Canis lupus familiaris: one gene and its partners. The protein of the gene in region 2 interacts with the protein of the main gene of each other region in a biochemical or structural test. Links are inferred from orthologs where the notes say so. Each region holds a gene or a part of one and is shown on either strand. Other genes may lie near its edges. The genes, in order: PJA1, UBE2D3, SH3RF1, MUL1, RNF114, RNF146 and RNF34.

Evidence for each region.
Region 1: the proteins of UBE2D3 (region 2) and PJA1 form a complex in vitro, tested with the Homo sapiens proteins (2 studies listed by BioGRID). The link is inferred for Canis lupus familiaris from reciprocal best matches to the Homo sapiens genes UBE2D3 and PJA1.
Region 3: the proteins of UBE2D3 (region 2) and SH3RF1 form a complex in vitro, tested with the Homo sapiens proteins (2 studies listed by BioGRID). The link is inferred for Canis lupus familiaris from reciprocal best matches to the Homo sapiens genes UBE2D3 and SH3RF1.
Region 4: the proteins of UBE2D3 (region 2) and MUL1 form a complex in vitro, tested with the Homo sapiens proteins (3 studies listed by BioGRID). The link is inferred for Canis lupus familiaris from reciprocal best matches to the Homo sapiens genes UBE2D3 and MUL1.
Region 5: the proteins of UBE2D3 (region 2) and RNF114 form a complex in vitro, tested with the Homo sapiens proteins (2 studies listed by BioGRID, with this or other methods). The link is inferred for Canis lupus familiaris from reciprocal best matches to the Homo sapiens genes UBE2D3 and RNF114.
Region 6: the proteins of UBE2D3 (region 2) and RNF146 are reported together in a solved structure, tested with the Homo sapiens proteins (2 studies listed by BioGRID, with this or other methods). The link is inferred for Canis lupus familiaris from reciprocal best matches to the Homo sapiens genes UBE2D3 and RNF146.
Region 7: the proteins of UBE2D3 (region 2) and RNF34 form a complex in vitro, tested with the Homo sapiens proteins (2 studies listed by BioGRID). The link is inferred for Canis lupus familiaris from reciprocal best matches to the Homo sapiens genes UBE2D3 and RNF34.

The regions. Positions count from the first base shown.
Region 1 is NC_049260.1:53,797,515-53,801,595, forward strand, and holds the start of PJA1 (E3 ubiquitin-protein ligase Praja-1), read right to left. Parts: upstream 2,801-4,081; 5' UTR 2,650-2,800; intron 737-2,649; 5' UTR 510-736; coding exon 1-509. UniProt on the Homo sapiens protein: Has E2-dependent E3 ubiquitin-protein ligase activity. Ubiquitinates MAGED1 antigen leading to its subsequent degradation by proteasome. May be involved in protein sorting.
Region 2 is NC_049253.1:15,659,361-15,663,590, reverse strand, and holds the start of UBE2D3 (ubiquitin-conjugating enzyme E2 D3), read right to left. Parts: upstream 2,801-4,230; 5' UTR 2,638-2,800; exon of another isoform or gene 2,599-2,637; intron 2,489-2,598; exon of another isoform or gene 2,279-2,488; intron 2,271-2,278; exon of another isoform or gene 2,053-2,270; intron 1,338-2,052; 5' UTR 1,205-1,337; coding exon 1,181-1,204; intron 451-1,180; exon of another isoform or gene 54-450; intron 1-53. UniProt on the Homo sapiens protein: Accepts ubiquitin from the E1 complex and catalyzes its covalent attachment to other proteins. In vitro catalyzes 'Lys-11'-, as well as 'Lys-48'-linked polyubiquitination.
Region 3 is NC_049246.1:20,140,973-20,144,472, forward strand, and holds part of SH3RF1 (E3 ubiquitin-protein ligase SH3RF1), read right to left. Parts: intron 3,342-3,500; coding exon 2,980-3,341; intron 1-2,979. UniProt on the Homo sapiens protein: Has E3 ubiquitin-protein ligase activity. In the absence of an external substrate, it can catalyze self-ubiquitination. Stimulates ubiquitination of potassium channel KCNJ1, enhancing it's dynamin-dependent and clathrin-independent endocytosis.
Region 4 is NC_049223.1:77,793,427-77,797,649, reverse strand, and holds the start of MUL1 (mitochondrial ubiquitin ligase activator of NFKB 1), read right to left. Parts: upstream 2,801-4,223; 5' UTR 2,710-2,800; coding exon 2,590-2,709; intron 1-2,589. UniProt on the Homo sapiens protein: Exhibits weak E3 ubiquitin-protein ligase activity. E3 ubiquitin ligases accept ubiquitin from an E2 ubiquitin-conjugating enzyme in the form of a thioester and then directly transfer the ubiquitin to targeted substrates.
Region 5 is NC_049245.1:37,091,743-37,095,242, reverse strand, and holds part of RNF114 (E3 ubiquitin-protein ligase RNF114), read right to left. Parts: intron 1,714-3,500; coding exon 1,563-1,713; intron 1-1,562. UniProt on the Homo sapiens protein: E3 ubiquitin-protein ligase that promotes the ubiquitination of various substrates. In turn, participates in the regulation of many biological processes including cell cycle, apoptosis, osteoclastogenesis as well as innate or adaptive immunity.
Region 6 is NC_049222.1:66,568,566-66,571,438, reverse strand, and holds the end of RNF146 (E3 ubiquitin-protein ligase RNF146), read right to left. Parts: intron 2,254-2,873; coding exon 1,176-2,253; 3' UTR 501-1,175; downstream 1-500. UniProt on the Homo sapiens protein: E3 ubiquitin-protein ligase that specifically binds poly-ADP-ribosylated (PARsylated) proteins and mediates their ubiquitination and subsequent degradation. May regulate many important biological processes, such as cell survival and DNA damage response.
Region 7 is NC_049247.1:7,980,878-7,984,377, forward strand, and holds part of RNF34 (E3 ubiquitin-protein ligase RNF34), read right to left. Parts: coding exon 3,471-3,500; intron 1,385-3,470; coding exon 1,253-1,384; coding exon of another isoform or gene 1,194-1,252; exon of another isoform or gene 250-1,193; intron 1-249. UniProt on the Homo sapiens protein: E3 ubiquitin-protein ligase that regulates several biological processes through the ubiquitin-mediated proteasomal degradation of various target proteins.

The DNA of each region.
Region 1 (4,081 bases), on a different chromosome or scaffold from region 2:
CTAGAGAACTGTGGAGCCACCCCAGCCAAAGACCTGGCCCCTTTCTCTGGGTCGTAGGGCTTATCATCTTTAAACTTGCCAGTTTTCCCTCTAACTGGTGCTCGCTCAACAGGCCCAGCCCCCTCCTCCTCACTATCATCTGCCCCAAAAGAGTCAACATGTCCATAAGCCAATCCTCTTCTGCTACCTGAAGCCCTGTACTCTCTCGGTGGGTACCTGGAGTAGTCCTCATTATCAACATTCAGGCTGGCTCCAGAGCTCTCACTGTCCTCCCAACTACGACGGGTGATGGAAAATGGTGACCGGCTCCTCTTGGTGGTTTGACTGGGGGCTGATCTGTGCATTGGGACTTCGGATGTTGTCTTTCTCTGGCTGGAAATCCTGTCCTGCTGGCTCGAGGATGGCCTGAAACTGACATAAGCATGCCTTCTTCCATACCTCCTGCCTGTATTGGACTGATACCCTCCTGCTGGCTTGGGCCATACGGGCTTGCTAGATTCCTGACCCATGGCTCTGACTTAGGAGGGTTTCCAATACAGCTGGGGCTTGAGCGGAAAGGCTCCTGCTCCCTGCACAAGCTTGGGAGATGGGAAAGTCAAATCAGTTCAGAATAAAAGAGCAGGGAGATCTATTTTCACTTCAGCAGGCAGTAACAGAAAGGATAAGGGGCCTTTACAATTAGTTTCACTTTCTTCTAAGGCCTGAAGTAGCATTCCAGTGACTGTCAGGTGTAGACCTGGAACACATTTTTAATGTTGGCAAAATGATTACAAAGCTGGGTTGGTTGGAGAGCCAGACTTGGGGGAGAATCTGACAGAAGATGGGGGTGCCTGGATGCTAGGAAGGTGGGTGAAGTAGTGTGAAATTAGGCCAATGTGGAAGAGGAAAGATTGTTGTGGTTATCTTATGGGGTATCTGCATCTTTTCTGAGCCCTGCAGACAGACAGGAGAAATGCAAATTGGGATGGGGTGAAAAAGAGATCACCATGTGTTCATGAATGCCTAACGTGTCTGTCAGGAGGAGAGGGACAGGTGGAAGGGGGGGGGCAGTCATCATGCAATGAAGAGATGCATGTTTGTAGGGGGAGGGGACAGGTGTACTGGGAAGAGGCGTTAGTGTCAGACAGAAGGACACCCATTCTGGATGTGGGTAGGGAAATGACAGGTGCCAGGGTGGGGGGTGGCTTCAGAGGAGAGGGGTATGTGTAAGCATGACAGAAAGAGAATGTGCATGTGTGGCTGTATATGTGCAGTGGCTGCAACTCTGTGGAGGGAGCCCGTTTACGTGTCTGTGGCAGGCAAGAAAGGGTTTGGTAGCATTGGACAAGGGTGGCCACGGTCTGTGAGTATTCAGCAAAATGGGAGGCAACAGTGGAGAATGTCAGTGTGAGTGAACGCATCCACGAGAGGGACAGCACAGGAGAGGGATGTGAGGGTGGCTGGTGGGTGGAATAGGGAGCCAGCAATCAGGGAAATATGTGTATTCACGAATGTGGCTAGCTGGGGGGTGATGGTGTCCCCAAAGAAGGATTTATGTGAGTGTTTGCACTGCAGGAACCAGCAAAGGAGGGCTGTCTATGCACGTATGTAGCAGATGGGGAGCAGGGCTGGGAGCATCTGTGAGGGCTGTGTGAATGAGAGTGTGTGCGTGCATATATATGTATGTATGTATGTGGCACATGAAAGAGGAGCCAGCAATCAAACGCTATCGTCATGTGTGTGGCAGGCAAGGGCTAGGGCAGCCCCAGAAGGGGTGTGTGTGGTGTGTGTGTGCTCACACAGAGGCAGAAGAAGGAGGGGGCTGCTTCTGGAGGTGAGTATGTGGCAGGCAGTGAGAAGCAGGGAAAGGCACAGGAGGGTGTGACATTGTGCAAGAGTGTGTGTATGTGTGTCTGTCCACGTCCTCAAGGGGAAGAGGATGTGCCAAAACCTTGAGTATGAGGGGGGTGCAGGGAGGGGGCTGCAACGAGAGGTTTCTGTGTGTGTGTCTGTATGTATGCCTGCGTACGTGTGCGTGCATGTGCACGCGCACCATGTATGCATGTGTCTGTGTATGTCCCTGCCCACACATGCGAGACATGGGGAGGGGGAGGGGGTCACAGTGTCATAAAGAGAGATGGCAAAACGTTACTGCTCACACTGGCAACTCCAAACCGATGGCCAGGGAAGGGGAATAAAAGAAAGGAAAGGCAGGCAAGGGTCTAGTTTTTCCCTGGTAATAACTGGTTTCTCAGACAATTCTTTTTCCTGGGAACGATAATATATTTACCTACAAATCTGAACAATTTGCCATTCAGGAAAAACAACTGCAAAATGGGGGAAGAAAGGACATGGAGTGCTCTGTAAAGGGACCAAGGAGGGAAGAAGTAGGGGAGGGCCCGGACCCCCACTCCCCTCTCAAACAGCAATTGAAGCCATCCGAGTAGGGGCCACGCCACGCGAAGGGGGCTGGGAGATGGAGGATGACGCCCCCGAACAGGTCGGGGGATACAGGCCTCACTCTGCAGGCAGGTCCTGCGTCCACCCCACCCCTTCCCAAGGGGCGCGCCTGAAGATCTGTTCGCTAGAGGACCCGAACCCTCGTCCCCAAGCCCCGCCACCTGCCCCGCCGCCCCTTCCGGATGAACTGAGGAAACAGCCTCCACTCACCCAGGGCTGACAGCCGCGCGCTCCTCCGGGCGAGCGGAGCTCTCGGGCCGCCGAGCGTCAGGGCCGCCGGGGCTGCTCCGGGTCTCCAGCTCCTCCCCCGCCAGACAGCAGCCGGGCAGGCGGCGACTGCGGCGGAGGAAGTGCCGGTGGCGTCGCCGGGCCCGCCCCCTCGATGTGGCGGGGCGGCAGCTGCTCTCCACCAATCAGGCTGGGCCCGAGAGCATGATTTCATTTTAAATGATGAAATCGTCAAGGATACAGAAAAGGACAGCAAAAAATGTAACCAACAGCCAGCTTTAGCAAATGTTAAACATTTAGCCATACCCTCTTCTGTTCTGGGGGTTTTCTCCCCCTTTTTAAAGATGAAGTCGACAAATTCTTTCTGATTAATTCTGATGTTCAAGTAATTACAATAATATATCATATCCTATGTTATATGGCATGGTTTGTACTAGAAGCATAAAAAAATGTGAAATTTTATCTAGAGTTGCAGGTTCATTTTTTTTTTTGACCTGGTAATTGAAGCAATTGAACTGTTTACAGTAGAATTTGTTGCTGTTAATTTTTTTTCTCTGTTAACGAAACCAACCTTTTCTATCCAAAAGAAATGATCAGTCATGAAGCGTAATACCGACTCACAACCTGGTAATCTCATTGCAGTTTAAAAATACTATAGCTATACCTTTTGGATTTGTATAATTTTACAGAATTCTGAACTCTTTTATTAATTGCACTTTACAATGCATCTTTAATATTTATGGAATGTAAAGACTCTCCATGTTCACGACAATAGCAAAGTTTTGTTCTTGGAAACAAAATGCACAATACAAGGACAGGAAACATTAGGGTAACAAATATAATAAGAATAGGATGTATGTGTAACAAACCACTAAAAAAATAATATGTCGAACAAAGAGAAAAATTCAATCTATCAAACTGCAGAAGTGAGGTGGGAGGCAACAAGAAAGGCTATTTTTTAAGACCCAAAGGGCAGGAATAAATCCAAATATATCAGTATATAGTATGGATTAACACTAATTAAAAAAAAAAAAAGCAGACTCTCAGAAATCCTGAGTGGCTCAGTAGTTGAGTGTCTGCCTTTGGCTCAGGGCGTGATCCCGGTTCAGGGATCGGGTCCCTCATCGGGCTCCCTGTGAGGAGTCTGCCTCTCCCTCTGCCTATGTCTCTGCCTCTCTCTCTCTCTGTCTCTCATGAATGAATAAATAAAATCTTTAAAAAATAAAAGGCAGACTCTCATTTTAAGTATTTTGTTTTTCTTCAAATTTGATTATATGCTGTTTATATGAGTTTCACTTAAAGCAGATATAGAAATGGAAAATATATGCCAGTTAAATACCACAAGAAATGAAGAAGGAAGGAAAGGAAGGAGTGAGGAGGGAGGAATTAAAAGAAAAAAAGAAAAGCAAGAAAG
Region 2 (4,230 bases):
TGTAAATACTCCACCCTCCTCGATTGTGCAAGAACCAAATACACCACACATACACAAGTTACAAAAAAGGGAAATGCAGTTTGAGAGTTTGAACATCGAGTCTTCAGCAGGACGTCTCAAGAGCTGTGTACAATCTGATGTAAAAGTTAACATTTAACAAAGAATATTATTTCATATAATGACGAAAGGAGATGCCGGAAAAAGCCTGAACCAGTTAAAGCAGCCGCCATCTTAAAATGCGGGATAGAAGTTAGAGCAAGAAAATGAGACTAAACCACCGGAGGTGAAGGTTCCGCTCACCCGGCGCCCCCCCCAGGCTCGAAAAAACGTATTTCTTTCAACTTCTATCTATCAATAGTTTCTATCAAACCACGTTTCAAGTAGCCAATCATCTCCGAAAGTGTTATAAAATCAGCCGAGACAAAGATAGGTACACCAAACCTTCCCTTACTGCCATCACACCCGTACCGCCCACCCCCCCACCCCCCAGTCAAAAGAAGGGAGCTTCCAGAAGCCTTTTACACCAGTTCGCAGCGTCCCTCTTATAAATTCGAGTGAGAAGTCTCAACTACAAAACATAGGAAGTGGTAACATCGTGTCAGCCCATCTCTTCCCAGCCCCACTTATTCTTGTGTAACCTGCTCAGAGTCGATGAAGTTTAACTAGGTTCAGTCACTACTCTTCAGCCGCCAAGAGACTTCTACACCGACCCCCAATTAGGTTCAGGACCCGCCAGATTTCTATCACCTCCCCTAGGAGTTTCCTACGACTCTTCCCCCTAGAAAACCCGAAAACCTTGATCTTACAGCCAAAGTTCTCAAGCACCGAGACTAGGGAGCGCCATGACATCTGCGGGAGCGTCTCTGGGCAATTCTGACCCTCAAACAAGACTAAAAAACTCTTTTTAGCAGCAAAACCCAAGCGCCTAAAATCACTCTCCCCCACCCCTCATTTGGGCCGACTCCAACTGAAACATACTCAAGATAAACAGCTCATTCGCCACAAGTGTTCTGTTCTCTAGCTTTAAGCCTCCTTTCTTTCCCATCCCCCCCCCCCCCACAGAAGTGACCCAAGGAAAGACGTTTTCCTAATTATACTTCCTCCCCACCCCCACGCTTTCCTCCGAGACCGAGCCTTCGTTTCCTCCCACGACCCCCTTCCCTTCAGCCCCGTGGGTTACCTTATTAATCCGTTTCAGCGCCATAGTCTGTGCTTTTCGTCTGGCTCCTCACTCTCTCGGTGTGTGCTCAAAGGTCCGGCCAAAACTCTTGATTACCCGGGCGGCAGGGAAGGATTGTCTCTCTTCGTCTCACACCGGCTCTGCCAGACACAGGCGCCTTTTGCAAAAACGGAGCAGATCAGCACTCGCACAGGCCCCGGAGAGACCCTGATGAATCCAGGTCCCTTAAAACGGTCGCGATCCGGGGTGGGTGGGGTGGCGTGGCAAAGCCACCAACAGCCTCTATGCCGTGCTTCGGCCCGGAGAGGCGGCGAGGGTGACGGGAAGAGCGGAGGGGGCGGCTACAAGTTTGACTTCCCGGCCTCTCGAAAGAGACCCGGGTGGGAGAGGAAGAGGCGTAGGAGAAAGGGGTGGGTGCGGGGCAGGGTCCGGAGCCCAGCAGAGGAGGAGCCGGGGCCTAGTCGGCGCTGCGCCGGCGTCACTAGGGCGAAGAAAGGCTAGGGGGGAGGGGGAAGACTGGAGGCTCCGGACTGACGCCGGGGTTCTTTCGGTTTCTGCTCAAAGGTGCGGCCCGGAAGGAGAAGGAAATAATAAAGAGACTTGCTGTAGGTTGCCGTCCCCGCAGCCAGAGCTATTCTGTCGGCCCTGACGCCACCGTACACTCCGCCTTCCAGCGCGCTCCCGCACGCGCCCGCCCCGCCACCGCCACCACGCGCCCGAGCTGCCCCTGAGGCTCCGGCTCGGGCGCGAGGACGCGCCCATTCCCCCACCCCCTTGGGCAGGCGAGGCCCCGGCTTCCCCAGCCTTCCCACCCTACCCCACCCAACAGGCTGGTCACTCCAGCCACCCGAGGCCCGGATCTCCCCTCTTACCCGGCCGGCCAGGGGGCCGGCCTCCCTTCCCTTCCCCTAGCCGTCCACACCCACGCGTACAGAGGGGCCGGGGCCTCCCTCAAGCTGCGGCCTCGGCCTCCTCCCCGCGCGGCAGCTGGTGCCTCCCCGGCCCTACGGGGCTCACGCGCACGACACAGCCACAAGATGTCCGCTCTGACGGAACTACTGCCAGCTGCCACGCTCCGCCCCTCCCCCCTCCTCCTGCCTCTTCACCGCCGCGTATCAGTCCGCCAACGCCGCCGTCGCGAGCACAGGACGAAGCGAAGGGGGACGGGGGGACGGTTTACTTCCTACGTCCGGGACCGAGTTGATCTGTGCTACCCCCTCTTCCTTCTTTTCGGAACAGCACCTTCTTACTAAACAGATCGGAGGTTGGACTGGGAGGGCGGGGGCCGGAGGCGGGTCATGGGCTGGGGGGGGGGGGAGGGTGGACGAGCGGCGGAAACCCTCAGACTCAGAGAAGCATCGAGAACCGGAAGGAGACCATGGGAGGAAGGTAATGGAAGCGGCAGCTGCGCGGTCGAGACCCACGCCCCTCCCAGCAGCGTCCCCCAGTTTCCTCACTTGGTATTGAGGCGGCGGATCTCGCGAGAACCTCGTGGCTGGCTAGCCGGAGCGATAGCCCTGCAATGACTTAAGGGCAGTTGCGTGAGCTCTTCCTGTTGGGGGCCCGCCCCCCGAATCTACAAGTTCTCGCGAGATGCAATAGGCACCGGCTGGAGTAGGGGCGGGCCGTCGTCGGGAAGCACCGCCCCTGGATGCTTCTGCTGGTGGGAGGGAGGGGAACTGGAATTCCCCGGACGGGTTGGAGCGCGCGCCGGCGCGTCCGTCCCTCACGCGCCCAATCAGGAATGTGCGGCGGGAGGTGCCACGGGCTAATCACCGGGTACCTTTAGTCCAGGTTGATCCGGGCCTTCCGAGATTTCGGTGGAGCAGGTGAGCAATATATCCGCACTCGCCTGCCCGTGCGGGCTCGTTAACCAGGGGGAGGAGGCACCCCTCAAAGTGCAACACTCGTTGTAAATAGAACCGAGCGGACCGCTGATGAGCGCTCTCACGTGCCGAGACACAGCGCGTTTCTGACCTAGAGGGTCCGTACTGAGGAAAGGGGGCCTCCTAGAGCCCCTCCCAGTCGCAGTCGTCTAGGCATCAGATTCAACTATGGATTAACGTGGAGGGTAGGGAAATAGGGGCAGGCTATTTGCCTGTCACCATCCGCCAGGATTGAGGTACGGGAAGAGACTTAACACCTCCTTCTTCCTCTTGCCGTGTTTCAACTTCTAGGTCCACAGAGTTGCAAAACTCAAAAGATCAGAGTTTTGGGTCAGAAAAACGTATTACTTAACTGAAACATCCGGGGGCGGGCAGAAAGGGAAGAGCAGAATTGGCCTGTTTAATCTGCCGGGTGTAAAATAATGGAGAAGGTGGTTTGGCTCTCTAGGGTATCCTTCAGGCAAAGGGGTGGTACGACAGTAATTTTTAAAAGGATTAAAGGTAAGCGCTGACCTGCTTAAAGTTTTCGAACATTTCCTGACTTAACGAAGTGGATATTTTAAAGAATCAAAGAGGAAAATTAACTTGTTTTTAAAATATAGTTTAAAAAAAAAAGAAAAGCAGCAATTTCTGGTTACAATAAAGTATTACCTAATAAAAGCTAAAGTAGGTCTGTGATGAATGGGCTAATGTATACCGCTTACGTGGTCAGGAGGAGTGTCACTCGAGCAATTGGTGAAACCCTGCTCAAGCTAGTATCTCTGTGAATCAGCTAAGGATTTTGTTCAGAATGTAGATTTTGATGTAGTAGGCCTTGGTGGAGCATGAGATTTCACAGTTTTAACAAACTCCCAGGTGGTACAGATGATTCTGGTCAGAGTACAGCCCCGTGAATAGCAGAGTACTAAAGTGCTCATCACATAGCCTGTTTCCCTTCTCCTAGAATAATCTTTGTTCTCTGATTTAACCGGTCTACTTGAGTAGAAACACAGAATTAGGCAGTTGGGGTGGAGGGTGAAATCCAGGTTTGAGTTCTTGCTCTATTCTCGTTGGTGTGATACTGTGTGGTTGCTTACCATCTTAGTTTCTTCCTACACTGAACTATACATAATAATAGCAGCCTTTTTTTTTTTACAGGTTTGTGGTATAGTTCAGGTGTCATAA
Region 3 (3,500 bases), on a different chromosome or scaffold from region 2:
TAAGCACCCAAAGAGAAGTTGGCTATAGTGAGATTTAAACTCTGAAGTTTAAAAGAACTGATTTTAAAAGTTCAAAGAAAATATATGAATGACCTGGAACTCAAAAGGAAAGATACTTCAAGAAGAATGGGAGGGATCTCCAGAATGAAATTCCAACATTACTACTGCAAATTATCTGAATAGATAAAAATGTAGAGGCATCTAACGGCGCTAATGTGATCCCCCAGAGAGCGGCCTAATGGGCTCAAATTTTTAAAGGACTCAATACAAAAAGATCAAGAGAAGGGACCATAAGAAAGAATGTATTATGGCCCATAATAGCTTAAACTTGGAAAAAAAAAGGGGGGGTAGACTTAAAGTTATGTTTGAAATGAGAAGAACAGGAAAGATACAGACCTGCTGCTTGAGATGGATGGTGGTTCTCAGAAGATAAGAAGAAAGAGAAGGATAATCTTCAGACTAGAAAGACCAAACCCTGATAAGAGGGAAATGGGTGAAGAGATTGGGATTTAGAGATCCAATAATTACTTGCCAGGATGAATTCACCCCAGCATACAGAGAAAATTAACAGCTGAAATGCAACCAAATAATCTTTGATAGATGTGGGTGAACCTGAGATCAGGTCAACTCAACAGGGCAATAAGGGATGTATAATCCTAATTTTCAAAAAGAAGACAACAATGTACTTTGCAGACTGTCTGGAAAATTCTAGAACAATATATTAAATGAAAGGAAATGAGACTCTGAGGAGGAGACTTCTTCAGGAGACACTTGCTAACATGAGTAACAGCTAAAATGATGGAGGACTGGGGAATAGTTTGGATGGGAGAATATAAAAGACATCTGGATTTTGACAGGCATCTGATAAGTTCTCCCATGATATCCTTATAGACCTGATGGAGGAATGTGAACTAAATGACACTCCAGTCATGTTAGTCATGGAATTATGGATTTTATATTAACCAAGAGAAGTCTCCCTGTGGATCTGGAACATTAAATGAGGTAGGAGATTTAGGAAGGAAAATTTATAATCTGTGACATAAGTACTAGTGACAAAAACTTCAAGAGTATAGCCTTAAAAAAGAAGATAACTTGCAAGTAAGTCAAGGCATCATATAGAAAGGAGAGCAACATTTTCTATGCAGCCCCTCAACATAAGGAAAATGGCATGGGACACTCTGGACCTAAGGCATTAATGGTTGGTTAGGGTGTCCAAACAGAGGCCATTTGTCAAGGACAGGGACTCAACAGGTAACTTGTTAGGCCCTATATTGTTGCTGTAACAAATTACCACAAACTTTGTGGTAAAAATCAGGCTTTAAAACTAAGGTCTCAGCAAGGGCTACATCCCTTACAGAAGCCCTAGGTAAGAATCTGTTTCCTTGCCTTTTCCAGATTCTAGAAGCTGCTTGCATTTCTTGGTTTGTGGCTCCCTCCTTGAATCACTCTGATCTCTGCTTCGGATGTCACATCTCCTCTGGACCCAATCCTCCTGCCTCCCTTTCAGGAAGATCCATGTGATTATATGGGCCCACTCAGATTTATCCCCTCATCCCAAGAGATTGATAAAATCCGTTTTGCCACATAAGGAAACATATTCTCAACTTTCAGGAATTAGGATGTGGACATCTTTGGGGAGCCATTATTCTCTCTGGCACAGCTCCCTTTCAAGTCTGTGATTCAATTAATTCTTTCCTGGGAGGACAGGAGTTTAAGAGCCCCTGTTCTCAATGATGAGGGTCCTGAAATCTTAAATTCTAAACTACAAAACAATTCTTTAAAGATATTGACAAAGTTGAACATGTCAGCTTGAGTACAAGTTTAATGTAGTTAATTATAAACATTGAACAGATACCAATCTTTTTCAAAAACACTAAGGTTAACTGAACAATTAAATATTAACTTTTTAGTAGGCTGTAAAGTTTATTTCCTTATAAACTCCTATTTACAGGCTTACCTAACCACTTAAAATAAGCGACGTACATTACCACCGAACCAAATGGTTAAGAGTTTATGATTACCCTAGAACTTCCCAGAATCGGGCTAGAGTTGTGGAGAAAATACACAAAATACTGAGGAAAACAGGATTTTCCTCAGGTTGCTACTTCCTTTGATTGTAATACAATTATCCAGACTTTGTTATCACTTCGATTTCTGTTCACGATTACTCACCATCAATTTCCCTTGTCTCAAACCACCTGTCTCCAAACCCAAAAACACGTTAGTCTTTCAAACCCACAGCTTTTTATTTATATTTTCTTTGAAATTCAGCCCCAAATGAGAGATTTTTTAAAGATCTATAGATTTAGGGCAGCCCAGGTGGCTCAGCGGTTTAGCGCCGCCTTTAGCCCAGGGTATGATCCTGGAGACCTGGGATCGAGTCCCACATCAGGCTTCCTGCATGGAGCCTGTTTCTCCCTCTACCTGTGTCTCTACCTCTCTCTCTCTCTCTCTCTCTCTCTGTCTCTCATGAATAAATTAAGAAAATCTTTTAAAAAAAAGATCTACAGATTTAGGAAATCATTTTTCACCCATACTTCAAATCAAGAGGAACACTATCCATGCTGATTATAATTAAATACACTGCAGAAAAAATAAATCCACAAATAACACTTCTGATCAACAATTCCAACCCTTTCATATATTACCTTTTTTTTTTTTTCAGAACTGACTGAATAGGAAGAATTAAGGATGGCACAATGATGAAAAAATGAGTTAACTAAAGAAGTAAGGAAATTCCTTCATGAGACATAAGCTGCAGAAGAAATGGCTAAATCTTATTCACTGTGGTTTCCCTAAACACCCAGTACAAGGCCTGGCAACTAGTGGGTGTTTCAACGCACAAAAATCATGAATCTAGCACCTGGCATGGTGACTCACACATGGTAAGCACTTGAAGGATTGTTGGACAACGAGTCCTTTCATTAGTTAGAAAGGATGGAACACAACATAAGCAGAGGAGAGGGATGTTGGTCTTACTTTATTATCCTTGTCTGGCTTGGTTGCTGAACTGTTCCCACAAGCCAGTGAAGCACTGTCAGGAGAGGTGGGAAGTCCAGGAAGAATAGTCACTGCCCGGCCACTGGGCTCAGTCTCCAGACAGGCAGTGGTGATGCTCGGAGAGGTCAATAAGGCAGCTGAACCACAAGCTAGGGGAGCACTGACTCGACCCATATTGACGGCAGCCACATGGGTGGTAGGGCCTGCCACTGGAACTGGAAGTTGTGGGGAAGCCAAGGGATGATGAGGCAGGCTCACGGACGCAGGGCTCAGGCAGGCAGTGTTCTGTACCTGGATGGGTGTCACTGCTGCCGTAGGGCGTTCTTGGTTATGTGCCGCCACTAGTAGATGACAGGAGAGAAAACAGCAAAGTTCGACTTTCTAATAATAAATGCTACTCACCAAAACATGAGTCATTTCACTATATCAGACCATAATGAAAGGTTGCTATTGCATTTTTACAATAAATAATGGATGTTTGGTGGCTTAAAAGCACTTAA
Region 4 (4,223 bases), on a different chromosome or scaffold from region 2:
AACATAAGCAGTTAATCAACACATTTTGTAGGTTATATGCTGTATTCCTGTAATAAAACAAGCTAAAGAAAAGAAAATATTTTTTAGGGCAGCCCCGGTGGCTCAGCGGTTTGGTGCCGCCTTCGGCCCGGGGTGTGATCCTGGAGACCCGGGATCGAGTCCCACATCAGGGTCCCTACATGGAGCCTGTGTCTCCCTCTGCCTGTGTCTCTGCTTCTCTCTCCTGTGTATTCTCATGAATAAGTAAATAAAATTTAAAAAATATATATTTTTAAAAAATCATGAGAAGGGGCCCCTGGGTGGCTCAGTGGTTGAGTGTCTACCTTTGGCTCAGGTTGTGATCCCAGGGTCCTGGGATCGAGTCCTGCATCGGGCTCCCCGCAGGGAGCCTGCTTCTCCCTCTGCCTGTGTCTCTGCTTCTCTCTCTGTATCTCTCAGGAATAAATAAAATCTTTAATAAATAAATAAATATAAGAAAATACATTTATAATACTGTATTTGTTGAAAATAATCTGCGTGTAAGTGGACCTGCACAGTTCAAACCCATGTTGTTCAAAGGTCAACTGTATGTACCAGGCACTACGCTAAACACTTTACACGCGTAAATTCATGCAATGCTCCTACCACCCCTATACAGCAGACATTATTAGCCCCAATTACAGATAAGGAAACTGAGGCTCAGAGATATGAAATGCTTTGCCCCAAGTCACACAGCTGGTACAGCATCCACCACAGGATGGCCAGTTAGAATTTTTTAAAGGGGAGAGGGAATACGGTTGGAAAGACACTTGAATCAACCTTCAGTCCATCTATTGTGACTTTGAGCAACTTAATTTACCTGAGTCTCAATTGCCAAAGCTGTAAAAAAAAAAAAATGGAGATAAAACTATCACTGGATTTTTATGTGTGTTCAATGATGTGTAAGGTGTGAAGGAATCTAGCCCAGGGGCTGGCACATAATAGGCAGGCAATAAATATGCATTCCCATCACTACGAGAGATGCACAAGGTTAAGACTCAAACCTACTCTGCGAGTTTTGTAATCTGATCAAGAAAACAGAACCTAAAATATTAGGAATCCCAACTCTTTCCAGGAAGGGGCTGTTTCAACTTCATTTGGGAACTAACTGGCAAAACTTTTAAGGCCACCCAAAAATAGATCCTGGAGAGTTCACTGCTTCAAAGGTCCCACATTCAGCCAGCTTGATGCCAACCTGATTTCAGACTTTTAGAGTCAGAAAGTGGAGTATCAGTTACACTCCTGGCACATGACTTCAGCAGTAACCTGTTTATAATCAAACAACTGGGCAGCTGGAATCTCACTAGGACGCCATTTGCACCACAAATCTAACTGCTTGGTAACCTGGTTCGATCCAGATGCATTCCCAAACTCCCCTTGACGGCAGGGATTTCACACATTGGTTCCTGAGCCCTTTTATTGAAAACAATATGGTGATAATGAACTAAGCCAGGTTTAGGAATCCTTCAAATAAACGTCAAGCGAAGCCCTAACTGTGGTATCGTGACATTTCAGCCAAAAGGAATCCACAAACATTCGGTGAGCGTCTACCACTTGTCAGGCACTGACTTACAACCTAGAAGAAAAAGCATACGTAAGACCCTGTCTCCGACCTAAAGAGGTCCATCTCTCATGGGCCAGTCAGACCGTCACAGTAAAGCAATGCGGTCAATCAGGAAAGGAAAGGAAAAAAGAAAAGAAAAAATAATAATAATCCCACACTTGGAATCCAAAGACCTAAGTTCCAACTTGAGGAGCTGTTAAGACTTTTCCCGGGAGTCTCAATAATTTCCCCATTTGCAATCTGGAGATGACTGTCATTTTCCATACCTCAAAAAAAAAAAAAATGATTGTGAAGGAGAAAAAAAAAAAAAAAACAAGATGAGAATGTGCTAAGCTGGAAAGGGCAGACTAAGAAAGAAAGTGTTATTTTTAAAGTAACTAAACCATCAAAAAAGGAAGAGTCTGTAGGAACAAGGAACTGAGTGGTTACATAAATGGGCAAAGTCTAGGGTTTCTGCACTTGCTGTTCCCTCCATCTGAACTGTTCTTCCCCCCAGACACCTGCACGGTCTCCCTCACCTCCTCCTGGGCTCTGTTAAATGTCACCTTCTTTAAAATAGCACACCTCCCTTTCTCCGGCACCGCATTTCCTCTCTTCCCCGCCTCATTCTGTCCTATTTTCCTCCCCATCTGTCACCCCATCCGATGTACTTGTCTGTCTGTACCAGACTGGAATCTCCATGAGGGCAGAGACTTTTGGTCTCTTCTAGCCGTGCAGGAGCCCCAGGGCCTGGAGCAGAGCAGGCGGCCCGCTAAGAATTTGTCGAATGATGTAATCCAGTCGCGATTCCGGGTGAGGAGAGGGACTGAGAGGAAGAGGGGCAGGTGGAGCGGTTATCACGTGACCCGAGTTCTGCTCGCCGCGCCCCCACCGAGACCGGCGGGGCGACACCTCTCAGGAGCCGGTTTCCGCCCTGGGGCGGTTTCCGGCCGGAGGCGAAGGGCGGGCCCACCGTTACCGGGGGGCAGGGTCGAGCCGGCGGAGGCCAGGCTGGCCCCAGCACTGACCTTGAGCTCCTGGGCGACCTGGGCCTTCTGCCGGTACACGGAGTACAGGACGGCGGTGACGACAGAGCTGGTGCCCAGGAGGATGAACTGGCCCAGCGAGGGCCGCCCCCCGCTCTCCATGGCTGGCGCGGAGCCCCGGGTGCCCGCGGCGACGCCGAGGTCAGGCCGCGCGCCCTCACGCTCCGCCGCCCTCCGCCCGGAACCGCGCCCCCCACGCCGCCCTTCCGGAGACCCGCTCCGCGTCGCCCGGCGTTGACGCAACGACGCCGGGGCCGGAAGTGGGCGGGGCCGCGCGGACCGGAAGGCGGCGTTGCCCGGGTGACCGCCCGGCTGCGGCGGCCTCCGCGGGGGCGGGGTCTCCGTCGCCGAGAGGCGGGGCGAGGGGGCTGACCGGAAGTCCGAGATCGCGGGTCTCTGGTGACCCTTTGCCCTTGGGAGCCGCGCTGGTCGTGCTCGGGTCGCTCTGGTTTCCTGGGGTTATTGTTGGGGTGTTTGATGGGCTCGTGATGGCTCCACCGAGACTAATGAGACTCCTAAACCTCCGCCTCTTTAGGGGGGGAGGAAAAGAAGAGGACTAGTGTGTAGCAAGCCCTTGGGAGTGTTGCACCTTTAAGCTCAGGGCAAACCTTGAGCCTTGGAATTTTTTTTTTTTTCTTCCCACTTTGCAGATGCGAAGAGTGAGGCCGGGGACATTAGGGGATGTGCTCACAGTTGCACTGCTGGTGAGTGCAAGAGAGGAATTTATTGGGCTCCCAGAGCCCTTACAGCCAAGAAGGCAGATTTTATCACCAAAGTAGCCCCTTAATCTGTCATCACCCCCATATAACAACCTATTGTTTGTCAGCTAATAATTACAGCTGCTTTATGGTGCCTGTTTCTGTGTCTGTGTTTACAGACATCCTATTTAATCCTCACACCACGACTGTGGAGCCGATTTCAGACTATCTTCTGACCTCTTTAGTGATCTCCTTACTGAAATAATCAGAAGATAACCCAAAACCTGACCCAAAACATCAAGGTGTTCATCCAAGTTAGCTCCTCCTGGTTACGCTTTAAAAAAATTCTTGGAGGTGTAGGAATGTACCCGCTGGTCAAAAGCAATATATATGTAAAAGGCATCTGACATCTGTAGGTTGCTCCCCAAAAGTAAAGTCTCTTTATTAAAGAAATTGGTTGTCCGTGACATTTTCCTACCACATTCCTTAATTATCCTTGGAATCCAATGAGAATTGCTTTTCTGTGAACGTGGGGTTAGAATCTCCAGATTGTTCCTGCCCCCAGATACTTTTTGATGGTTTTCAACTAAGAGGTGATCATGAATTTGGTACACACACATACACTTAAAGTTAAACCTAACTTTATTATTTTTTTTTAATGGAACTTGTCCAAAAGTTAATAACACATTGTGTTGGCAAAGGGACAGGGACAGGGGATCCCTGGGTGGCTCAGCGGTTTAGTGCCTGCCTTCGGCCAAGGATGTGATCCTGGGGTCCAGGGATCAAGTCCTGCATCGGGCTCCCTGCGTGAGGCCTGCTTCTCCCTCTGTCTGTGGCTCTGCCTCTCTCTCTCTCTCTCTCTCTCATGAATAAATAAATAAAATCTTAAAAAAAAAAAGGTACAGGGACAGAGACTCC
Region 5 (3,500 bases), on a different chromosome or scaffold from region 2:
AGTTACAGAATGCCACATTGTGATAAATGATCTTAAAAAAAAACTGAAATCTGAATTCCATTTCCCCTATAAAATCTAGTCCTTGCAAGATGGAAAGAGAAAGAAAACCTAGAGGAGAGTGCTTCATCGCAGGTGTTCTAAAAGCAAAGGAAAAGTATAAGGAATGAAGAAAGAGAAGAGGTAAAGGGAAGATAAGACATTTTTGGAGGTATAGTAGTACACCTGGAAATATAATACAATATAATAACTAATCTTTAAAAATGGAGAAAAATCAAAAGTATACAGAATAAAACAAAAAAATCCATCATGCATGTAGTACAAGGATAAAGTAACGGGTAATTTCATTTCAATATCCTGAGTTTCAAAATGAAAGGAAACCACAAGAAAAAAAAAGAAAGCTTCATTATTTGAGCTCCAGCTTACCATAATGCTCCCTTCTGTCTTACCTCTAGCTAAAGAACTTGACTTCAAGCTGCCAACCAAAGAGCTCCCAATTAAAAGGGATAGGAAACAGCCCTATTCAGAATGATAGTCACTCTGCAGCCCTAGTGCTAAATCACTCTGAAAGAAAGAAGGTAAAGTATATCCATTCTATGGCCATCCATACTAATATGTTAGTAATGAAACGGACAGGTTGTCTAGTAAGTCATTAAGTGAAAAAAATTTTTCAAAAGTGAGAAAAAGCTCTAGAACTAGAGTATGCTCCTATTTTGTAAAATTCCTACATCTGTGTTTGTCAAAGGGCAGAAAATATTTTGCAGCCTTCTAAACCCAATCACTTTTAAACAGGTAATCTCTGGAGTGGGAAACAAGCCTACAGTATTTCATATGCTTTACGGTCTGAAATGAACAGAATCATAATTTTGAAACCTGTAAGACTGTGTGTGTGTATAGCTTGGAAAACGAGATTGTAGTTTTTCTCCTTTATAATTATAATAGATGTTGAAATACACTTGATTCTAGCATGATTATACAAAAAAGCACGGGTGCATTTCGAATGTTAGGTATTGTTTTTACAATCACATAATTTCATCCTAATCTTTATGTCATGATTCCTCCCTGTCAAGTACTAAAAAATTCAAATATTTTTTATATCTATAATGATAAAGATTGTAAAATTTCCCCTCTAGCTCACTGCAGCAGGTGACTTCCTTTTTTTTTTTTTTGTTTTTGTTTTTGCAGCAGGTAACTTCGAGATGTTTATCTTATTTTACACTTAAAAAAATTAAGAAATAGCATTCTGTCATTACATTCTAATGGAAATTACACATACTGCTTTGGAAAAGTGGCTCTTTTATAGGGAAAAAACTAGGATAATGGACTTCTATGGTTTTCAAAGCTACAAGATATAATACACTAAACCAACTGTTAAAAGAACAAAGCAAAACCAATAAGGTCACTAAGATGAACCGGCACAGCCATTGCCACAGATAACTAGCATGCACACGTGCTGTAAGTCACCTAGTCATGCTCTAACTTCAGGAACAACGTGGCAACAGCTCTGCGTTTTACCCCCTCTCATTGCAGAAAGACACTGACTCTTCCATTTTACTTCCACATACATTTTTACGGCAGCCATGGCAAGAAGTCTCTGTGCTCTCAATCTGCCGCTCGAGCTCCGCGGCTCGGACGCCAGGTGCCAGAGCGCTGCGACACACCCCACAGACAGGCTTCTTCGGCTTCAGACATTCCTGCAGGCATGCAGAGCAAAAGCTAGAACAAGACATACAGAGAACCTGCGTCATGCATTGTGGAGACAAGACAACAAAAATGGATAAACTTTTAAAAAGACATCAATGAATAATGGATTATAAACATATTGCTCCCTGTTCCTGATTCAAATACTGAGTCTTCCCGTGCCAGGAAGGGGATGGGGGAGTGTCCTGCAAAGAACACACAGGTCCAACAACAGAAACAAACACAAACTATCATGATACACAGTGAAAAGGTTTTGTGGCACAGTCCTCAAACCTTAGCACCTGCCACTGAGGGATCTTGGTGGGGTTTCCTGAATCTCAGTTTCTCCTCTGTGAAATGGAGACAGTAGTAGCCACCTCTGGGATTACTGGAATGGAGTATGTTTAGCAGCCCCTCAGTACAGTGTTAAACACATATGAAATGCACCACAAATAGGAGGTGCTATATCATCAGAGGTGAATGTAAAACACTATGAGAAGACAGAGATAAGACCACCTAGTTGTGACCCAAGAAGGACAGTGCTGGTAGGACTTCAGAAGCAGCATTCACAAAACAGCCTTAAAAGAGCTCAGCTGGCAGAGGAAGGTAAAAGCATTCCAGGCACTTAGACTTAAAAATTCATGACGCACCTAAGGAAATAAAAGTCTAACATCTTTCCTCATGAATGGTAGGAACCCAGATGTTTAAAGATATCAACAAGGCCAAATCCAAGTTTTAGAAAAATAGCTGAGGTTATCATGGACAAGAGAGTTGTTGGTTTTCAAAAAATATTTTTAGGTGAGAAAAGACAGGAGCCTTGAAGTAGAAACCAAACAGATTGGCTAAGGCAAGGAATTCTTTTTTTTTTTTTTTTTTTAAAGGCAAGGAATTCTAAGGGCCTGAGGCAACAGAGAATTAACTCAGGAAATGATTCAGAATGGAGTCAGTAATACTTGGGAACTTACTAAATTTGGAGAAGGAAAGTCAAAAAAGGCCAAGTTTCTATCCTGAAACCTATGCAGGGAGTGATGCTGAGATAAGGTATACAGAAAGAAAGGACAATAAAGGGATGGAAACAGCCTGGCTACATACCTGACCTGGGATTTAAGGCAAGATAACAAAACTTGCCAGGAAGAACTCAGGATGTATAATCAAAGGTAACCTATGCCATCTGACAAATTTTTACCATATCTAAGTATTTTCTTCCTCTTTGTGATAAAGCTAGATGTTAACACTGCCACACAAAATAAAACAGGCTGGGAGAAATTGAGGGGCCCTAATGATTTACCACTGAGAGCAAAGTTGAGAAAGAAACAAAATCCCTGTCTTCCTAATGCTTGTATTCCAAAGTGGAGGGGAAAAAAAAAAAGTTAGTTTCTGATAGTGATTTAAGTATAGGAAGGAAATAGGGCAGCCCTGATGGCCCAGCGGTTTGGCGCCACCTTCAGCCTGGGGTGTGATCCTGGAGACCAGGGATCGAGTCCCACGTCGTCGGGCTCCCTGTCGGGCTCCCTGCGTGGAGCTTGCTTCTCCCTCTCCATGTGTCTCCGCCTCCCTCTCTCTGTCATGAATAAATAAAATAAAATATTTTTTAAAAAGTATAGGAAGGAAATAAAACAAGGCAAAGAGATCAGCCAAGGTGGATCATACTGAGCTTCTTTAAGGAGGCAATATTTGAGCTAAGACCTAAAACTCCGAGGAGACAGTCACACGAACTTGGACACAAAAAGTTCCACAAAGAGAGGATATACCAAGTACAAAGGGATTTCCAAAAAGCAGAAAGGAGGCCTTTGGGACCATGATATGAAGACCACTGGAAGATG
Region 6 (2,873 bases), on a different chromosome or scaffold from region 2:
GTAACATTTAATTCACATTTGAAAAACATTAAAAATAACCTGCATACGCTTCAACACAATCCTACGGTTTTGAGTTAAACTATATTAAGACAAACATTACCATTTTTCGGAACCAAATTCGGGATCACCAAGTTAATCCAAGACTTATTTTGCCACAGATTTTACGTTTTAAGTTTGTGTCTACTAATGCTGTTTATAAATAAACCTACCGTTGGATTCATTAGCGTCAAGCCACTAATGGTGGCCGGCAATGACAGTCTACAGGGTGCGTGGTGCCTGTTACCAGTTACGTCAGACGTCTAGGTCCCCCGAGCGTTAGGTTTACTTCCATACGTATTTATTGCACGCAATTGCTTGTGGAGTCGGTTAAAAAACCAAGCTTCTGAGCAGCTGAATAAGCTGAGCACAACCGATTCAAATCACCACCTGGTTACTGACCTTTGGCCACAAATGTCAAAATGTTTTCATCTTCTTTCCACACTCAGACAACGGACAAGTTATTTTTGGTAAACTCTAGTATTTATTAAATTATAAATTCTGTAATCAAAAAGAAAAATGCAGGTCAAGAGAAACCTCAAACTACAAGGACCAGACAGCAGAGCCTATGGGAAATGCCATGGAGTATGTTACAGACAAGATTCTGAAACAGGAGTTATTAGCTGTTTTCTTTACACTTCCATTTCGGTAACTTTACTATTTAATAGTTGTTATTCATCTATTTTAAAATCCCGAATTCACATCTATTCTCACATTAAGCTTCCTGCTCATACCGATACCAGACACCTCAGAGGTGCCAGATTTTAGTAATGGTTTTACGTCAATCCATGCAGAAAAGTAAGACACAATGCAAGAGTCAGATGAGGACTGTTAATGCACAGATAATACACACACGCTGGCCAAAGGAACTGAAGAAACTTTTAAAAACTATAAAATAAACAGACCTCAAGAAAACTGGGTTATTACTAAACAGCTCTCAACTATTAACGCCAAGTTCCTTATATTAAATAAATTCCTCAACAGAGACACGTTAGACATTTTAATTACAGGTCTGTCCTCCCCACACCCCTTCCCCCCCCAGCTCCCAACAACGCACTACCAGGGACGAGTATGTTACGTGGGCAGAAATTTACAGAGCGCTGCCTTAACTTTGAGCCTGGAGCTGAAGACTGTCGTATTTAAACTTCAGTTACTGTGCACTGGCCATCAGGTCTTCTAGACCGGACACCAGCATTCACTGTTCCACCCCCTGCGACTGGTCGATCAGTCCCCGATCGATCTGATCTATCAGATACTGTCTGGTTTACACTAGGAACCAAAAGTCTCTGGTGGGTCAAGGAGTGCTGTGCACCAAGCGCAGGTACTTCCTCGCTTTCACTACTGGCATCGGACTCGGTCTCCTCCACGGAGGTGTCTGGTGCGGGGACCCTGCCCGAGGACGGCGACTCGTGATCCTCTTCTCCTTCCCCCCTGTGACTCCTTTCAGCTATGCTGTCTCCACCGAGGTGCAAATGAGCAAAAGAGTCTTCCAGAGAAGTGCTCGCATCCGGGGACGGCGTGGCAGGGCTTGTTAAGGGACCATCCACCGATGCTGGGGGCCTCGCAGAAGACGCCAGGGGCTGAACAGAAGCTCCACTCTGCGCTGGCACGCTGTCCGCTCCGTCGGCAGAGCTCTCTCTCGCTAGGTTGACCGTGCTGGAGTCACAGTCCAGCCTAAGTCCAGCTACTCCCTTCTTTGGTATATCTATTATATCCCGCTTAATCTTCCTGCGACGTCCGTGCTCATTTCTCCTGTATTGAACCATATTTTCAAGATCAGCAACATACAGAAACCCAGCAATTAACATTTCAGTGCTCTTTTTACCTTTGGAAAAAGCATCTTCCAACTCTCTACTAGTGCGCTCGTCATACTGCCACCACCCATTTCTTCCTTCGTAATACCACGCATATTCACCGTTTCCTCGACTTGCTGCCTTGAGTTCTTCTGGGGACAGTAAGGTTGGCTTGTCAAGGAAATCTTCAGGAATTTCTTGTCGACACAGGGCACATCGCTTTCCAAGCCATGAAGCTCCCTTTACACACAGATAGCAGAACACATGCTTACACGGGAGACTGACGGGGTGGACGCAGGTCTGCAGGCAAATGGCACATTCAGGGACAGTGAGCGAAGGCGCAGTGTTAGAACAGGACTCATTCGCTTTCCTGTTCGTAGGAAGCATGTTTATCGAGTGATCAACTTCACCACAGCCAGCCATCCTAAGAAAAGGAGAGCAGATACACGTAACATTAAAACTGCGTTTCAACTCTTCCAATTTCTTAATTCAACAATTCAGAAAACACTTATTAAGCACCTACTGTATATGTGTGCTACACACTGGAAAATGGGAAAACAAAAAAGAAAAAGAATTTAACTTGTGCAGAAAAATCTTTGATTTTTTTCTGTCATGAATTTTTACTTGTGGGGAGCAATGAGAAGCACAAATGTTAAGCCAAAAATAAACTCATGATCTGTTTCCTCCTTATTTACTCCCTAAAAGCTCCCCACCCCCAGGGATAACATTATCCATCTGCTCTTTCAAGCCATTTGAAATCCATCACTGACACTGCCCTTCCCCTACTCCTCACATCCAAAACATCAGCAGGTCTTACCAATGTGATCCCACTCTCCTGAATCCATCTACTGTCCATCTCTGCCCTAGCCATCCAGTAAACAGTGTTCATTAAATGCCTGAATATGCCTTTTAAATTGTTCCAGTCTTACCTCCTGCTTAAAAAGTTGATTTCAGGATAAAGACCAGGATGTTTGTGTCCTGCAGTGGTCCCGCTCCTCAGCCCCCATACCAGCCTCATCCCCACCAGACCTTCCCTTGATCAGG
Region 7 (3,500 bases), on a different chromosome or scaffold from region 2:
CTTTCTAAGACTTCAGACAAGTTCTTTAATTTCCCAGAGGTTCCCCATCTGTGAAGCAAGGCAACAGCAATTTCAGAATGCTGGAGAACTAGAAAGCCCCCAGCATAATACTTGGTCACAATAAACAGCAAATCAATAGTTAAGCTAGTGGTACATCAGCAGCCAGGAAAGGTGCTGGATCAGATGCAGATACCCATTCATGCTGTACCCAAATAAATTAGGAACTAAGTAGGACAATGTAAGCAAAAGCATTTTTTAAAATCTAATTTTATTCCTAAAGTTAAATTAGCTAGCGGTAGCACTGAAAATACACTTTCACTATACAAAACAGTGTAAACTGGTTCAACATTAAGAATTTAACACACACACTTCTCTAATGAAAGCAGCTAGATGCAGCCCTTGCTCTAAAAAGCTGTACCTGAACAGAAATGGACATGTTAAGTCTAAGGCCCTGGCAGTTGACTACAGAATGTCAGTTGTTCCCAATTATGTTTAAACGCAGAAATAGCAACAATGTGGAAACTTACATTCATCAAATAGTAGCATTTAAAATATACATGACTAATAAAGTGAACATTCAGAGGGGCCACTGCTCAGTGTGTACCATGTTGGCCACTTGTGGACAGTGATCTCATCCAAGAGAACAGAAGTTTCAAACATCTGAGTAGTTTAAGTTAAAAATAGGATGAAGGAGAAATAGAGAACAGGATAAATGTTCTCCGGAGAGAGTAGCTGATGCTGTGAGCAGTCTGCCTTCATCAACAATCAGTGATCACAGATGTGGGATGAAGCCCCGCAGAACCTGGGAAATGGCGTGTCCCCAAGCTGGCAGGCACATGGCACATACCAACATTGCCACAACTTAGGATGAATCTTTCTGTCCCCAGTTAGTAGTGAAAATAATTTTTAAAAATAGTTTCAGGGGATCCCTGGGTGGCTCAGCGGTTTAGCGCCTGCCTTTGGACCAGGGTGCGATCCTGGAGTCCTGGGATCGAGTCCCACGTCGGGCTCCTGACATGGAGCCTGCTTCTCCCTCCTCCTGTGTCTCTGCCTATCATAAATAAATGAATAAATAAATCTTTAAAAAAAAAAAAGTTTCAGCCTTTGTACAGGAAGTTTCCAGGCACTCCTGTATATTGAAATGTCTGGGATCGAGCTTGGGGGCGAGTGTCCTGTCGGGAAGAACCCAGGCTTCAGGACTTGAACACGTGCACGGCGCGCACCACATACTGCCGGCAGATGGGACACTCACTCATGCGCTTGCCACACTTGGTGCAGGTGACCATGTGCCCGCACTCAAGCAGGACACAGTCAATGACGGCATCCATGCAGATACGGCACAAGCGATCATCTTCCTCATCCTGCAGCTGCAGTCGCTCGCCATCTGAAAGGCAACAGAGAGCTGGGGCTGTGGACACAGTGCTGCCTGATTGGCGGGGGGGGGGGGGTGCCCTCACCAGTCATCTGGAGAGACCACGGCGGGCCCCAGATAAACCCGGTGTCGTGAAAAAATAATCCAGCTTCTCTGCACTTCCATTCCCTCCACTAGCAATGGCAGTAGTAATAATGCCTATACCTTGTAGAGTTTTGTGAATACATGAGAAATGCTTAGCTTAGGGCCAGGTATGAAGTGCCCACAAATATTAGCTACTTAGTTCTATTTTATAGCTGTAATTCAAAGTTCTTGTGAGAAGAACAGATTACTTCTGTAAGTGAAAATAAAGAGACCTAAGGTTGTCTCTATACACGGGCCTCAGAGAACATGACTGGAATTTCCCACCCAACTGTGTGGCCTTGGGAAAAGTCAGTCTCCAGAGCTTCATCTCAGTAGGAAGAACTTTATTTCCACACTGATAGAAAAGTTCTGAAGAGTCATACGTCAAGTAGCCTGTACTTGGGGGAAAACCAGTTGGAGTCTAACTGCAAACAGACCGGCTATCCTGGCTCTGAGGCCCACCCAGATTTAGGTTCTGAGAAAATCTAAGCTCTGAATAAGAAAGGTGGTGAATGAGTTTAAAAGTTCACCTCAGCCCAAGATTTGGCCCCAGAGCTCAGGATACAGAGGCTTCCTTTTCTTTAGGGAGATCTACAGAGGATCGATGGGAATATATCACAATTATAGTTAGAAAGAACAGGAATTCACTATTGAAGGGCCAGTAGTCTCTGGATTTAAGAGAATAATGCCATTTCAAAAGATTCTTGTAAACCAGGGAAAAAAAGGATTCATGGGATAAGACAATTGATGAGCCAGTGGAGAAGACCCTAGAGGGCTCTTGAGTAAATCAGAGTCTAGGCTTTGGTCCCCTCCCCTGCATGGAAGTTTCCTTCCAAGAGTCACAAGTTCTGAGCATAAAGCAGAGGAGCCAGGGTTTATCAAGGCTATTAGGTAAGGCTATAGAGGTGAATATCTCAATCTAAGTGACTGAAGACAATTAAAGTAGGGAAGATTCCAACTGTACTCATTTTGAGTATTCCACAAGTCTGGAGGTTGAACCAGGGAGAGAGTAAGCAGTGAGGTAACTGAAAAAGGCACTTTGGCAAATGTGTATGTCATGGCCTCCTCTACCATAAACTCCCGGAGGGTGGGAATGAATGGCTATGCATGACCAGAGCGTACTGTACACGCTTGGCATTTACACTTATTAAATAAACGGATTTCTCCCCTCACTACCAGAATGCCATTTCCCAGCCACAGTCTGGGACCTCTGAAGGCTCTGAGGCTTAAGATTCTTGTATCTACCCTTGTGGCCTCATCTTAGGAAATAGGTATGCCAAAATACTTCCCGCATATTCAGGCATAAAGCTGTTTACCAATAATTGCTGCATTATAACCAGATTGAAGGGAAAAAAAAAAAAACCCTCACGATGATAAAAGTTAGTGGGAGGATTGTTTAGATAGGAACATATTTGTCAGTCTAAACACCATTGAAATATTCTTTCTTGCCTATAAATGCTCTATGGCTTGGCCCTGTTACCGACTAAGGATTTCTGTTCCATGCCTCATCAATAAATAGTTTTGGAATTCTTAACTTCAGCTTTTCCCAACTTCTAGAGAAACCTAATACTCGATGCTAAGAACTACTTAACATCTTGGCTCTAGGTAATATTTTTTTTTTTTTTTTTTTTTGCAGTTAGGATTTAAAAGCTACAGTTGAGATAACCAAAGTATTGGCCTGCCAGGTTAGTGAGAAAACATGCATTTTCATAGAGACAAGGGAGTGCATTAGAGTTCTAACAAATTATGGCAAAGAAAACCAGACTCAACAAATGACCTAACTCACTTGCAATGGTGGTTTCAGAGCCAACATCACATAATAAACTTACTAATTAACAAGTTCATACCTCTAATTCACTCAATAAAAGGATACATAGTTTTGTGAAAAATTTTGACCTCATTGTGATAGAAACAACCCAATTTTTAAAAGACTAAAGAAGGATAGTATGGGGGAAGAAAGAAAAAGGAAACCTACATGACTTTTGGTTTTCTTCATTCTCTTTGT